Linked DNA regions of Macaca fascicularis. The protein of the gene in region 2 purifies or fractionates together with the protein of the main gene of each other region. This does not show direct contact. Links are inferred from orthologs where the notes say so. Each region holds a gene or a part of one and is shown on either strand. Other genes may lie near its edges.

Region 1 (4,212 bases), on a different chromosome or scaffold from region 2:
TGCCGGCTGCCATTTTCAACTCTGGCAACCAACAAACACAAACAAAAGGCTGAAAAGTGAGTTTCAGTAAGTTTGCCATCATGTTACTACATATAATGCAAAACCCCAGATACCACGCAGGTGGCATCAAAGTAGCATATATCTGGTTCAGGGCCAACACAGGTACATCAATATTCCCATCTCATAACACCATTAAACTGGCCAGAATGAGAAAGATCTACAATAATTTGTGAACTTATAGACCCCATACTCATTTTCTAAAAATAGTTATGTGTTGGGCTGGGTGTGGTGGCTCACACCTGTAATCCCAGCACTTTGGGAGGCTGAGGCGGGCGGATCACCTGAGGTCAGGAGTTCGAGACCAGCCTGGTCAACATGGTGAAACCCCATCTCTACTAAAAATACAAAAACTAGCCAGGCATGGTGGCGTGTGCCTGTAATCCCAGCTACTAGGGAGGCTGAAGCAAGAGAATCCTTTGAACCCACGACGTAGAGATTGCAGTGAGCTGAGATCACACCACTGAACTCCAGCCTGGGCAACAAAAGTGAAACTCCGCCTCAAACAAACAAAGCTGGGTGCGGTGGCTCACACCCGTAATCCCAGCACTTTGAGGGGGCAAAGGCGAGTGGATTACCTGAGGTCAGGAGTTCAAGACCCACCTGGTCAACCTGGTAAAACCCCATCTCTACTAAAAATACAAAAATTAGATGGGCGTGGTGACAGGCACTGGTAATCCCAGCTACTTAGGAGGCTGAGGCAGGAGAATCACTTGAACCCAAAAGGCGGAGGTTGCAGTGAGCCAAGATGGCGCCACTGCACTCCAGCCTGGGTGACAGAGAGAGACTCTGTCTCAAAATAAATAAATAATAAATAAATAAATAAAATAAGAAAAAAATTGGTTATGTGTTGGCCAGGCACGGTGGCTCATACCTGTAATCCCAGCATTTTGGGAGGGTGGATCACCTGAGGTCAGGAGTTTGAGACCAGCCTGGCCAATCTGGTGAAATCTTGTCTCTACTAGAAATACAACATTAGCTGGTTGTGGTGGTGGGTGCCTGTAATCCCAGCTACTCGGGAGACTGAGGCAGGAGAATCTTGAACCCGGGAGCCCCGGGGAGGTGGAGGTGGCCATGAGCCGAGATCGTGCTACTGCGCTCCAGCATGGGCGACAGAGCGAGACTCCGTCTCAGGAAAAAGTAAAATAAAAATTGGTATGTGTTAATAACAAAGAGACTGGCTATTCAATTCTCCATTTCTGGCCGGAACAAGTAAATCTAAATTAGAACGATCCTACAAGAGAAAGTCTAGAGAGGATGGCTCAGGAGCTTCCTGATTCATAGGAGACTAGTCTGAACCCAGTCTCAGCGGCCAAGAAGAAACAGCTTCGACTTGGCAACAGTGTGAAGGCACGAGGACTCCTGATGCTGTTAAACAGGTACACATACAATGAGAACCCCAGAATTACTTCGTACCTCACAAATCTCCAGTACTAAGGGCATCTATCTATTCCCTTGAAACACTCCCAAATCAACTCCAACGGCATCGGAAAGACAGTCAATCTCAGGGATCCCTGGCAAGAAAAACCCAGCGCAGGTAATTTATGTTCTTGGCGTAGAGTCTGTTCCCAGCATCCAGGAAGACTCAGCCCGCAGCCCCATCTTACTGAGCAAGGTCACGCCCTGAAGTACACACTGACAATGTTTAAGTCCAAGGAAAATGAAGCTCCAGTCACATCCAGGGAAGGGTCTGTTTCCACTGCCTCATTTCTGGTTTATTCTCTGGAATAAAATGTCTTTCCTCCACTAAACACTTTGAAAACCAGAACCCTCTACCGGCGGACAGTCTTCTGGACGCTTAGATGTCCTGCACGCAGCCAGGCATCGCCTTAAACTGGGTTGGGCTGGTCACTGAAGGCTTTCTTCTATCACTTAATTCACCACCTTCGTCCTCCACGGGGGAAGAGGACGGTACAAGGATTTTGGAAAAATGCCCAAGAAAGGAAAAAACTAACCGGTTTCCTGAGGGTGTCTCCATCCCTCCCGGCCAGTTTGTGGTGACTTCCTACCAAAGGCCACCAGGGGAGCACGGCCAAACCCGGCTCTCCAACACGGCAGGAAACGCTTCCAGCCCAAAAGCCACTTGTAGGATTATCGGATTCATTCTGGGCGCCGCTGCCAAGTGATGCCCCCGCAGTGCCAACATCTCCCTCAGCTCTTTGTCCCCACGTTGCCTTGCCCTGCCCTACCCTTGCGCCTGGCCCGGGAGCCAGCCCCACCCTGGGGCCGAAGCAGTTCCCCTTCCCCGGGGCTGCCCTTCCCAGGCACACCCCGGGGCCTCGGTCCGCGGCTCCTCCTCCCCCACACTCCTGTTCCCCGGGTGGGAATGAGCCCCAGCAGCCGGCGGGCCCCTGCCACGGTCACCCAGCCCTCTGCCCACGACCCCGAGGGTCCGCTCTCAAGGAGCAGCCAGCCGGGCTGGGAGCTCCGCGGCCCTCACCCCGCCCAGGGCCCCCCGTCCCGTCAGTCCCTCACCCGGCGGAGGTTGGGCGGGCGACGGCGGCACTGGCGGGCGCGGGCCGCTGCTGTTGATGATGTAGTGGGAGACGCGCGAGTTCTCTGAGACGCTGAGCACATAGTCCCCGGGGCTGGTGCTCGAGTCCCGCACCAGGAACACCCCGTGCCGCTGGCCCTGCAGCAGCGCCACCGCCTCCTGCCGACTCAACCGCCCCCAGTACCAGCTACTCCGCTCCTCCGAGTCGAAGTTGCCCGCCATGGCTGCCTCCGCGCCTAAACGCTGGGGTGCCGCCGCCGCGCGCGCCCCTCCGGCCCCCGGCGCCCGCCGCCCAGCGGACCGGCTCCGGTTTCAGCTTCACAGCAGCGCCCGAAATGGCGGCGGCAGCCGCGGGCCTTCCCCACCGGAAATGACGCGCTCCCTGCCCGAGGGAGGCTGCCGGGAAGGGGCCCGCGGCCCGCCATTGGGAGAAGGGCAAGGCGCCCTCGCGCGCGCACTGCGCATGCGGCCTCATGGGCGGTGCCGCCCTGCCCGGCCCGGGGATGAGGGGGATGGGAGGCGGGGTCTAGGGCCCGGGGGCGGGGCCTCGCGGCCTCCCGCAGAGACGTGCGCCTGCGCCGCCGACCGCGCGGTGCTGCTTCAGGCTCGCGTTCCCGGACTGCCCGGGACTTCTAGGCGGCGGCTCCCAGACAGGATTGCAGGAGAAAAGACGCGTGTGGCCCTGGGGCCTCAGTTCTCGGCCAGGCTTCCTGGGATATCAGTCTGTTTCTCTTTTCTTTTTCTTATTTTGTTTTTTCAGACGGTGTCTCTGTCGCCCAGACTGGAGTGCAGTGCCGCGATCTCGGCTCACCGCAACCTCCGCCTCCCGCGTTCAAGCGATTCTCCTGCCTCCGCCTCCCAAGTAGCTGGGATTACAGGCGAGCGCCACCACGCCTGGCTAATTTTTGTATTTTTAGTAGAGACGGGGGTTTCACCATGTTGGCCAGGCTGGTCTCGAACTCCTGACCTCGGGTGATCCACCCGCTTCGGTCTCCCAAAGTGCTGGGATTACAGGCGAGAAACATCGCTCCCGGCCATGTCGGTCTGTTTCTTCTCGTTCCTCTAGCTTCTCCACAGGCCGGCTGACGTTCTCATTTTCATTGATTCATTCAGGACATTGTTATGGACACTCCACCTGCACTGCGGGTGCAAAGGTGATGGATGCTGGGCCCTGCACTCCTCAAACTCACACACCAGTGAGAGGAACCAGGAAACTGCATGACAAAAGGATGACAAATGCTGACAAGCGCTATCATGGGAAACGGACATGAACACAGAGCAGAGCCCCCCTCCATCCAGTCTGCGGAGTAATCCAAGAGGGCTTCCCAGAGGAGGTAGCATGTGTTGACTGCTGAATGACAAAAGGGGAAGGACATTCAAAGCAAAGGGAGCAGAGTGTGCCAAGCCACGTGAAGTACAGAGTTCTCCTCTCTTTTGAGGCTTTGGGGTCACCTGCCCAGATACTTCTAAACACTAAATTGTAGCCAGGGGCATCTCCTACTTTCACTGCCGTCATGGTCACTCTGGACTGTGTTCCTATGAGTGGCTTGCTCGCTGGTGCCCTTTCGTCTGGTTGCCTCTAATTGCACTGCAAACAGCTCCCACTGAGTTTTCTAAAATACAGATCTGGCTGGGCACGGTGGCTCACGCCTGTAATCCCA
Region 2 (3,646 bases):
TAGAAAATGTATTTACTTAGCAAGTCCAAAGATTCACTGGTAACAACTAAGACTTTCCACTGTCAGAAATCATTAAAAATTTCCTTTGTCTAAATAATTTGTATCAAACTACCTCTGGCAAATAGAGATCATAAATATATGTACACGATTCTATGGGCTTACTTGGGAAACTGTTTTGAATATTTAAAAGAGCCCACACTGGTGTTTTGCTTCTTTTATACACAAAAGTATCAATATTCTAACATAAGGTAAAAAATACTTACCTGCACCAATTTCTGTAAACCATGAGGATGCAGAGTTCAAATTGATTGTCTCAAACTGAACTACCTGATTCGATTCAGTGCCTTTGCTAATCGCTACACAGACCATAGGGTATTCTTGTTCTGGTATCACCAGCATTTCAAAAACATTCAAAGGACTTGGCAAAGGAAAATCAAAGTGCTGCAAAAAAATAAACAAGAGAGCCATAATTCAGAAACAATCTCCCCATTCATACCATTGTTGAATAAACTCAACAGAAAGACTCCCATCTTCTTCATTTATCTAGTTCTAAAAAGGATTACCTCTAAGATGATAAGAAGGATAAATGGTCTATAAAAATGTGTCTTCGAGAATTGGCCATATTTATCTTTATGACTGATGGTTCTGGAAGTTATTAATATCAGTTAAAGATTAAATCCTAAGAACACAAAAAGCCCTAAATCAAATAAACAACTACAAATAACTATAAATGTTCTGACCCTAGATAGTAGTATTGGGATCTTTTAATTTTAGCTTCAGTTATACGCTAGTGTTTTCTAAAGGAGAAAAATGTGAACAAAATAATATATACCTTTATCAACATGAATTTCTGCATTGGCTCATACCACTGAAGTAAAACAATTCCAGACTGTAAAGCTCCACAGAGGTATTTATGTCCCGTGTAAGGGTTTCTGACTGGAAAGAAATAAACAAAAAACCCAGACACACTCAAAATACTGAATACTTTTACTGTATCTGTTAACTAGGATGACAAGAGTGGGTGGAAAATAAAAAAAGATTGTGTCTTTTCTTTTGGCTTCGTCGCCTTTTCCGTTTTACTTTCTTATCTAGATTTTAAATTATATATGTTTACTTCTAAACAACTTTCATATACTAGGTTCTTAAACATAAGAACTTTTTACAAGCACAATAACAACCTAATATGCAACCTAAAAAGCTGTTTTTTTCCCTTCCTCACTCCTTCCCGTCCTCCTTCTTTCTTTTTCTTTTTAAAGAGACAGGGTCTTGCTCTGTCACCCAGGCTAGAATGCAGTGGCACAATAACGGCTAACTGCAACCTCATCCTCCCAGGCTCAACCAATCCTCCTACATCAGCTTCCTGAGTAGCAGAGACTATAGGTGTATGCGACCATGCCCAGCTAATTTTTCAATTTTTTTTTTTAAGAGATGGGGTCTCACTATGTTGCCCAGGCTGGTCTTGAACTCCTGGGCTCAACCAATCCTCCCATCTTGGCCTCCCCAAAAAGCTGTTTCTTAGTAAATTCAAATTGAATTTACTAAGAAAATTTACAAGAATGAGTTCTGACAAGGTCTAGGAGGCAACTGAAAAGCACCTCGTTTTGGTATAGTAGGGTACAGATGTCTACTTAAGATGAAAATAATTCATCTTGTATATATTAATTCATCTTGATATAACATCCTGGACTCAAATCTATAAAAATTCATATTGCTCATTCCTTCTCCCAAATTTGATTTCCATTAATAATTATAATCATTTATTATAAGAATAGTTATTTGCATTAAACTCTAAAGTATTATTTATGAGTTTATATCTTAGATTGTAAGCTTCTAGGCCTTTTGTGCATCACAGATCTTGGGAATCTGATAATAGATATTGACATGATTCTCCCCAGAAAAATAATCATACAATGTGCTTATATTTATAGCACATTTGTGGTTAAACATTTTTGTTTTACAGTATGGACTATGCTGTGAAACTATTATGTGGCACAAAGATCAATGTGCAAGTTCATTGATCAAACAAAAGAATAAATAGGAAGTTAGGAACTCAAGATCTGAAGTCACTGAACCTGAATCTGATTCCTACGTTCTGTTACTTACTAGTGACATAATTAGTATTATGGAGTTGTTTAATGGTTAAATGAGGTAATTATGTAGTAAAGAATTTAACCTCACACAAAAAGAGGTCTGGTCTCTGTCCTGCTTCTGGGAGGTAATTGCTAAGCCTTTGGAATGTCAGGCTTGACAGGACTGTCTTTGTCTGGGGGACTCTGGTCACTGGATAATATAACAATAATGATTTCGGGTGGGGACTGGCCACACTGGATAGTCTTAATGTGAGGGCTGGTCATGCCAGAAATACCAAAAATGTGATTTTGGGTGAGGGCTTTGGGTCATGCAACATCAGATGACCTCTAGTGGGGCTGCATACTGAGATCAGCAAGGTGGTCAATCAATCACGCCTTTATAATGAAGCCCCAGTAAAAACTCTGGACACTGAGGTTCGAATAAGCTTGTGGTTGGCAATGGTTGTGTGTACTGTCACATACCAATGCTGGAAAAGTAGTGCTATCCATTAACCACAGGGAGAGGACAACAGAAGCTCCATGTTTGGTACTTCTACTGGACTCTGCCTTATGTACTTCTTCCCTTGGCTGATTTTAATCTGTATTCTTTCCCTGTTCTAAATTGTAATCGTAACTATGAGTATAACTGCTTCCAGTTCTGTGATACCTTCTAGTGAATTTTTTTATTCTGGGGGTAGTTTTGGGAATCCCCCAATTTGCAATTGGTATCATAAGTGAGGCTGTTTTTGTGTGAACTGTTCCTTCTAACTGCATAGTTGGCTCAACTCCTGTAAACATGTTCATAAAACATGGGTAGTAACTGGTAGATGGCAAATATTAAATAAATGAAAGTTAGAATATTAGCAAAGAAACAGTCTCAGGAACTATGGTTACAAAACTCTAGGAACACTATGCTCTGAGAAAACACTAAGGTTTTTATCTCTAAGCATTTCTATGCCATGTCTGTCTATATTCTTGTACTTCAATGGCAGCTTAACTTCTTATTAAAAACAAATTTTAAAAACCTACCCTCCTTCCTATTTGTTTCCATAAGACTCTTCAGATAATTTTAAAGATCTTAAAAGTTCTAACCATTCAGTTTGAGAAATACCATTTACTCACCAATGCAACATTTGTGGCAGCCTTTTGTATCAGGAATCTTTGTTGTTAAAGCGAATTTTCTGAAAACATAAGACAATATAAATGTACTCTACAGTAGTGGTTACAATAAAGTGATTTGTAAATCAGTTGCATCAGAATCAGACAGAAAGGAGCTTAAAAAACTGTCTTGGATCCTAACTCCACACTATCTGACCTTACAGGACTGAGGAAGGGCCTGATAGTCTGTATTATAAAACTTCCACAGTTGATTCTCATGGTCAAGTTCAGAAAACATTCAGCTTTTCCAGATATAATACACTTTAGTGTAAACTACTTTTGAAAATTAAGACGAAGTTTTTTACTGGGCAAGAAATACCGGCTATTTTTAAAATAAACACTAATTCCCCTCATTCAGTAGAATCAAAATGATATTTTATACCTTGGTAGTATGCGGTCTGGAAACCTGTGAGTTTGAA
Region 3 (4,359 bases), on a different chromosome or scaffold from region 2:
TCCCCAGGAGCTGGGATAACAGATGCCCGCCACTACGCCCAGCAAATATTTTGTATTTGTAGTAGAGACGGGGTTTCACCATGTTGGTCAGGCTGGTCTCGAACTCCTGACCTCGTGATTTGCCTGGCTCGGCTTCCCAAAATGCTGGGATTACTGGCGTGAGCTACCACACCCCGCCATTAACTCGCTTTTTGAAACAGCTGTATTATTAGTATTCATCACCTCAACGTAAGTACATGCATGGCTTAATGAATGCCTGGTATTAATTATATAATTCACTCTCACAAACGAGATGAATAATTTATTCAATCATACTACAAATCTCACTACAGTGGGTTCTAAGATTCTCAACCCCTTAAATTGGAATTATATTGTGCTCAAAGTTGACTGCAACTACCAGCATCTGCCAGGAACCGCATGTTTCACCAATCAGATTCTTGGTGTCCTGGTCTTTGTTATACAGTATTTGATTTATAATCACTTTCTGCCCACTTTTAAAGTCCATTTAGTTCAGTAGTTAATCTTAAAGTCATTATACTATCATGGCTTCTTTTTCTATCTCTATCTCACTATGCAAACAGTTCGTGTCCTTAATTATAATAGCTTTTAATGTTTAAAGTTTAGAGTAATACCCGGTCGACAAATCCATAAAGTCATAAACATTTAACCCTGGAAAAACTGCATCAACACCCAATCCTTTTAAAACAGATGTTTAAGAAATGAACTGGCCAGTTTGTTACTTTAAAAATTCTAGGCAACTTTTCAACTCAAATTTGGGATAATTTAAATAAAAGAAACCTCTGATAAAATCAAAGTGTTACAGGGCAAACACAACAATAAAAACAAATCTTTGTTAAAATGCTTAAGGCAAATTAAAGCAACTAATCAATTAAAATAATGTATTTCACTTGGAAAAGAGACTACTTGGTCACTTTGCATTAATTTAAAAATAAGAGATACTAAGTCATTAGACTTAACACAAAAAGCACGTCTGAAATTGAACTAGGATACAACTCAGTGTAATTCAAAAATTTTCCTTAATAACATTTTAGCCTAATTCCACCTTGGAAATTAATCAGACTAATCTCTGGCCTACTAATGGTCCTTGGGGAGAAAATATTAAATACATTTTCCAAAAATATCCTCGCTGAAGCCAATGCACCTTATCTTTGTGATTAACGTACTATAAAAGTGGTGGTGTCTGGCCTGCTTCAAACTTGGCACCACAGTATCAAATATATAGTTTTGATATTTTGGTTTCATTTTGTCGACTGTTACAAAGGCTGCAGTCCTGGAGTTAACCTGGAGTTCAGAGATTTGGAGGGAGTACAAGAACCTGGGATAGTGTGCAAACTTGTGTGTACGTGCCTTTGGCGAGGAGGGGTGGGGCTTGGGTGGTGAGTGCTCGGCTATCTCCAGATTCTCAAAGAAGTCTATGGCTAAAAACGGTTTTTGGCCGGGTGCGGTGGCTCATGCCTGTAATCCCAGCATTTTGGGAGACCAAGGCAGGGGGATCATGAGGTCAAGAGATCGGGACCATCCCGGCCAAAATGGTGAAACACCGTCTCTACTAAAAATACAAAAATTAGCTGGGCGTGGTGGCGTGAGCCTGTAGTCCCAGCTACTCGGGAGGCTGAGGCAGGAGAATAGCTTGAACCTGGGAGGCCCTCGGAGGTGGCATTGAGCCGGGATCGCACCACTGCACTTCAGCCTGGCGACTCCGTCTCAAAAAAAAGGTTTTTAGGAAAACCAGCAAATCCCTGCATCAGTATTACACCCAGAGAAAGTCACGAAAGGCAAAAAGCGTGCATTTTATGCCACCCCCGTTAAACATTTAAAACGCATCCTCCTGACATTGAGAAACAGCCTCATGAGGAAAACACAAAAAACAAAAACGCATCCTCTTATCCAGTGACCTAGATCCTGACACTAGCTTTCCATTAGGAAGGCCTTCTGGAAAATAATTTGGTTCAGAATGGGGGGAATATGGGTTCAAGCGCGCCCCACCTCCCTACACAAACACCCTTCGACCGACCCGGTTATCGACCTTCCTCCGCGGTCGGGGCGGGCTCTCGCGTACCTGGGCGCGGGTTCGATGAGAGTGGTGGTGTCCAGGTAGTGGATCTTGTAAAACTCCAACAGGGCCGGCAAATGGTCAAACTCCTGGTCCCCGATCTTAAAACGGCGGTTGGGCAGCGAGTTGATGATGTAGTGGGAGACCCGCGAGTTCTCGGACACCGACAGCACATAGTCCCCAGGGCAGGTGGAAGAATCGCGGACGAGGAACATACCGTGGCGCTGGCCCTGGAGCCGGGTCTGCGCCTCCTGGCGAGACACCGGCCCCATGTACCAGGCGGAGCGGTCCGAGGAGTCGAACCTGGCAGAGGACATGGTGTCGGGCCGGGGACTCTGCGGCGGTAGGGGCGGCGGCTGTCCTCGCCTGCTCTGCACGCCTTAGCCCGGCAGACGGCTTTGGGGCCGAGGAAGGGCCTCTCGCACACCTCGAGGAGCGCTCAGAGGGCTGGGCCAGCACTTTCCTCTCGGCTCCAGGCCCGCAGCATCCTCCAACGTCGCCCGCCTGCTCCGGGGCCGCCTCACGGAGAGCCGCCCGGGAATGCAGGGCAGAGCCGGGGGGTCAGGGCACGCAAAGCCGAGCCGCAGCTGAGGCCACCCCGGGGTTCTCGGGCTGCTCGGCGTCCCAGGGGTGCCTCCAGTGACTCCCGGCCTGGAACGCGCCGGCGTCGCAGCTCCACGGGTCTTCACCGACCCCCGCCGTCACACGAGGCACCGAACTCGAAGGAGCGTCGCGCCTCCGGGGTGGTTTTGCCCAGCTCGTTCCCAATAGCTACAGCAACAAAATGGCGGACGCGGGAGAAGCGGCAGCCACCTCCCCCTGCGCTCAGCGCGCTCCGTCTGCGCACGCGCGGAGCCCCGGCTCCCGGCGGCCGCCGGGGCCCTTCCGTGGCGTCACACAATGCTGCCAATGAGGAGCACCGTCACGACGATCTGGGTGGGCGCTGGTCGCGCCCGCTCCCGCGTTCCGGGAGGAGGCTGAAGAGGCGCCGGCGGTAGGCACTCTCTTCCTGGGCCGCTGCGCGCCGCTGGGGGCGCTGCGGCTGCCGGGTCTCCCAGCGCTGGCAGGAAAACAGCTGGAGCCGAGAGGGAGCGGCGTGTCGAAAACCTGCTTCTGGGAACAAAGCGTAACGTGCAGGCCGAATCGCGGGCCAGGGAGGCGTGGCACTGAGGCGACCTGGCCAGCCTAGGGGCCTGAGGGAGCTCAAGAAGTGACAGGTCACGATGGGCCGAGGTGGCCCAGTAAAGGGATGACCCCAGGGGCAGATGTGACTACCAGATAGGTGACTGAATGACTCAGTCCCCAGGTGGCTTGATAGGCTAAGGAAGCCCTAGTGGCTACGTGACCCGCTAAATGGAGAGAGAGGAGAGAGAAGGTGGGGGTTAGATTGACTCAATTAAGTAGTCAAGGCAGGCCACAATTGGGTAACCTGGCCATCCAGGGCTTTGAACTGTTGAAGGTAAAATGCAAACGCCTCTCGGGCGTGGCCCGGAGGCTTCGCCTGCCCTGGATTATGCCTGCTTCTCCCTATTTATTAATCCCTATTTGTTTTTGTTGTTTTCTATTTTTATTTATTTATTTATTTATTTATTTATTTTGAGACGGAGTCTCGCTCTATCCACAGGTTGGAGTGCAGGGGCGCGATCTCGGCTCACTGCAACCTCCGCCTGCCGGGTTCAGGCGATTCTCCTGCCTCAGCCTCCCGAGTAGCTGGGATTACAGCCATCCGCAGCCATGCCCTGCTAATTTTTGTATTTTTAGTAGAGACGGGGTTTCACCATGTTGGCCAGGCTGGTCTCAAACTCCTGACCTCAGGTGATCTGCTTGCCTCAGCTTCCCAAAGTGCTAGGATTACAGGCGTGAGCCACCGTGCCCGGCCTGTTTGTTTTATTTTGTTTTTGAGACAGGTTCTCCTTCTGTCACCCAGGTTGGAGTGCAGTGGAACTATCATGGCTCACTGCAGCCTTGATTTCTGCATCTCAAGGGATCCTCCCACCTCAGCCTTCCGAGTAGCTGGGACTACAGGCTCACGCTGCCATGCCCAGTTAATTTTTTTTTATTTTTAATAGAGACGAAATCTCACTATGTTGCCCAGGCTCGTCTCAGACTCCTGAGCTCAAACAATCCTCCCCCTCAGCCAAGATGTGAGGCGCCCGGCCCAGCTATGTATGAAATAAGCTAATATATGCAAAGTGCTTAGAATAGTACCTGGCACATAAGCATCATATGAGTCTTCCATTATTATTATTCACTCGTTCCCTGGGCCTGTACCTTTATAGCCTAAA

What was found.
Region 1: the proteins of MAP4K5 (region 2) and CRK purify together in Homo sapiens (affinity purification with mass spectrometry; 4 studies listed by BioGRID and IntAct, with this or other methods). This does not show direct contact. The link is inferred for Macaca fascicularis from reciprocal best matches to the Homo sapiens genes MAP4K5 and CRK.
Region 3: the proteins of MAP4K5 (region 2) and CRKL purify together in Homo sapiens (affinity purification with western blotting; 3 studies listed by BioGRID and IntAct, with this or other methods). This does not show direct contact. The link is inferred for Macaca fascicularis from reciprocal best matches to the Homo sapiens genes MAP4K5 and CRKL.

The regions. Positions count from the first base shown.
Region 1 is NC_088390.1:1,562,543-1,566,754, forward strand, and holds the start of CRK (adapter molecule crk), read right to left. Parts: upstream 2,918-4,212; 5' UTR 2,774-2,917; coding exon 2,533-2,773; intron 1-2,532. UniProt on the Homo sapiens protein: Involved in cell branching and adhesion mediated by BCAR1-CRK-RAPGEF1 signaling and activation of RAP1.
Region 2 is NC_088381.1:118,371,159-118,374,804, forward strand, and holds part of MAP4K5 (mitogen-activated protein kinase kinase kinase kinase 5), read right to left. Parts: coding exon 3,610-3,646; intron 3,251-3,609; coding exon 3,192-3,250; intron 937-3,191; coding exon 833-936; intron 442-832; coding exon 264-441; intron 1-263. UniProt on the Homo sapiens protein: May play a role in the response to environmental stress. Appears to act upstream of the JUN N-terminal pathway.
Region 3 is NC_088384.1:31,891,489-31,895,847, reverse strand, and holds the start of CRKL (crk-like protein), read right to left. Parts: upstream 2,918-4,359; 5' UTR 2,392-2,917; coding exon 2,081-2,391; intron 1-2,080. UniProt on the Homo sapiens protein: May mediate the transduction of intracellular signals.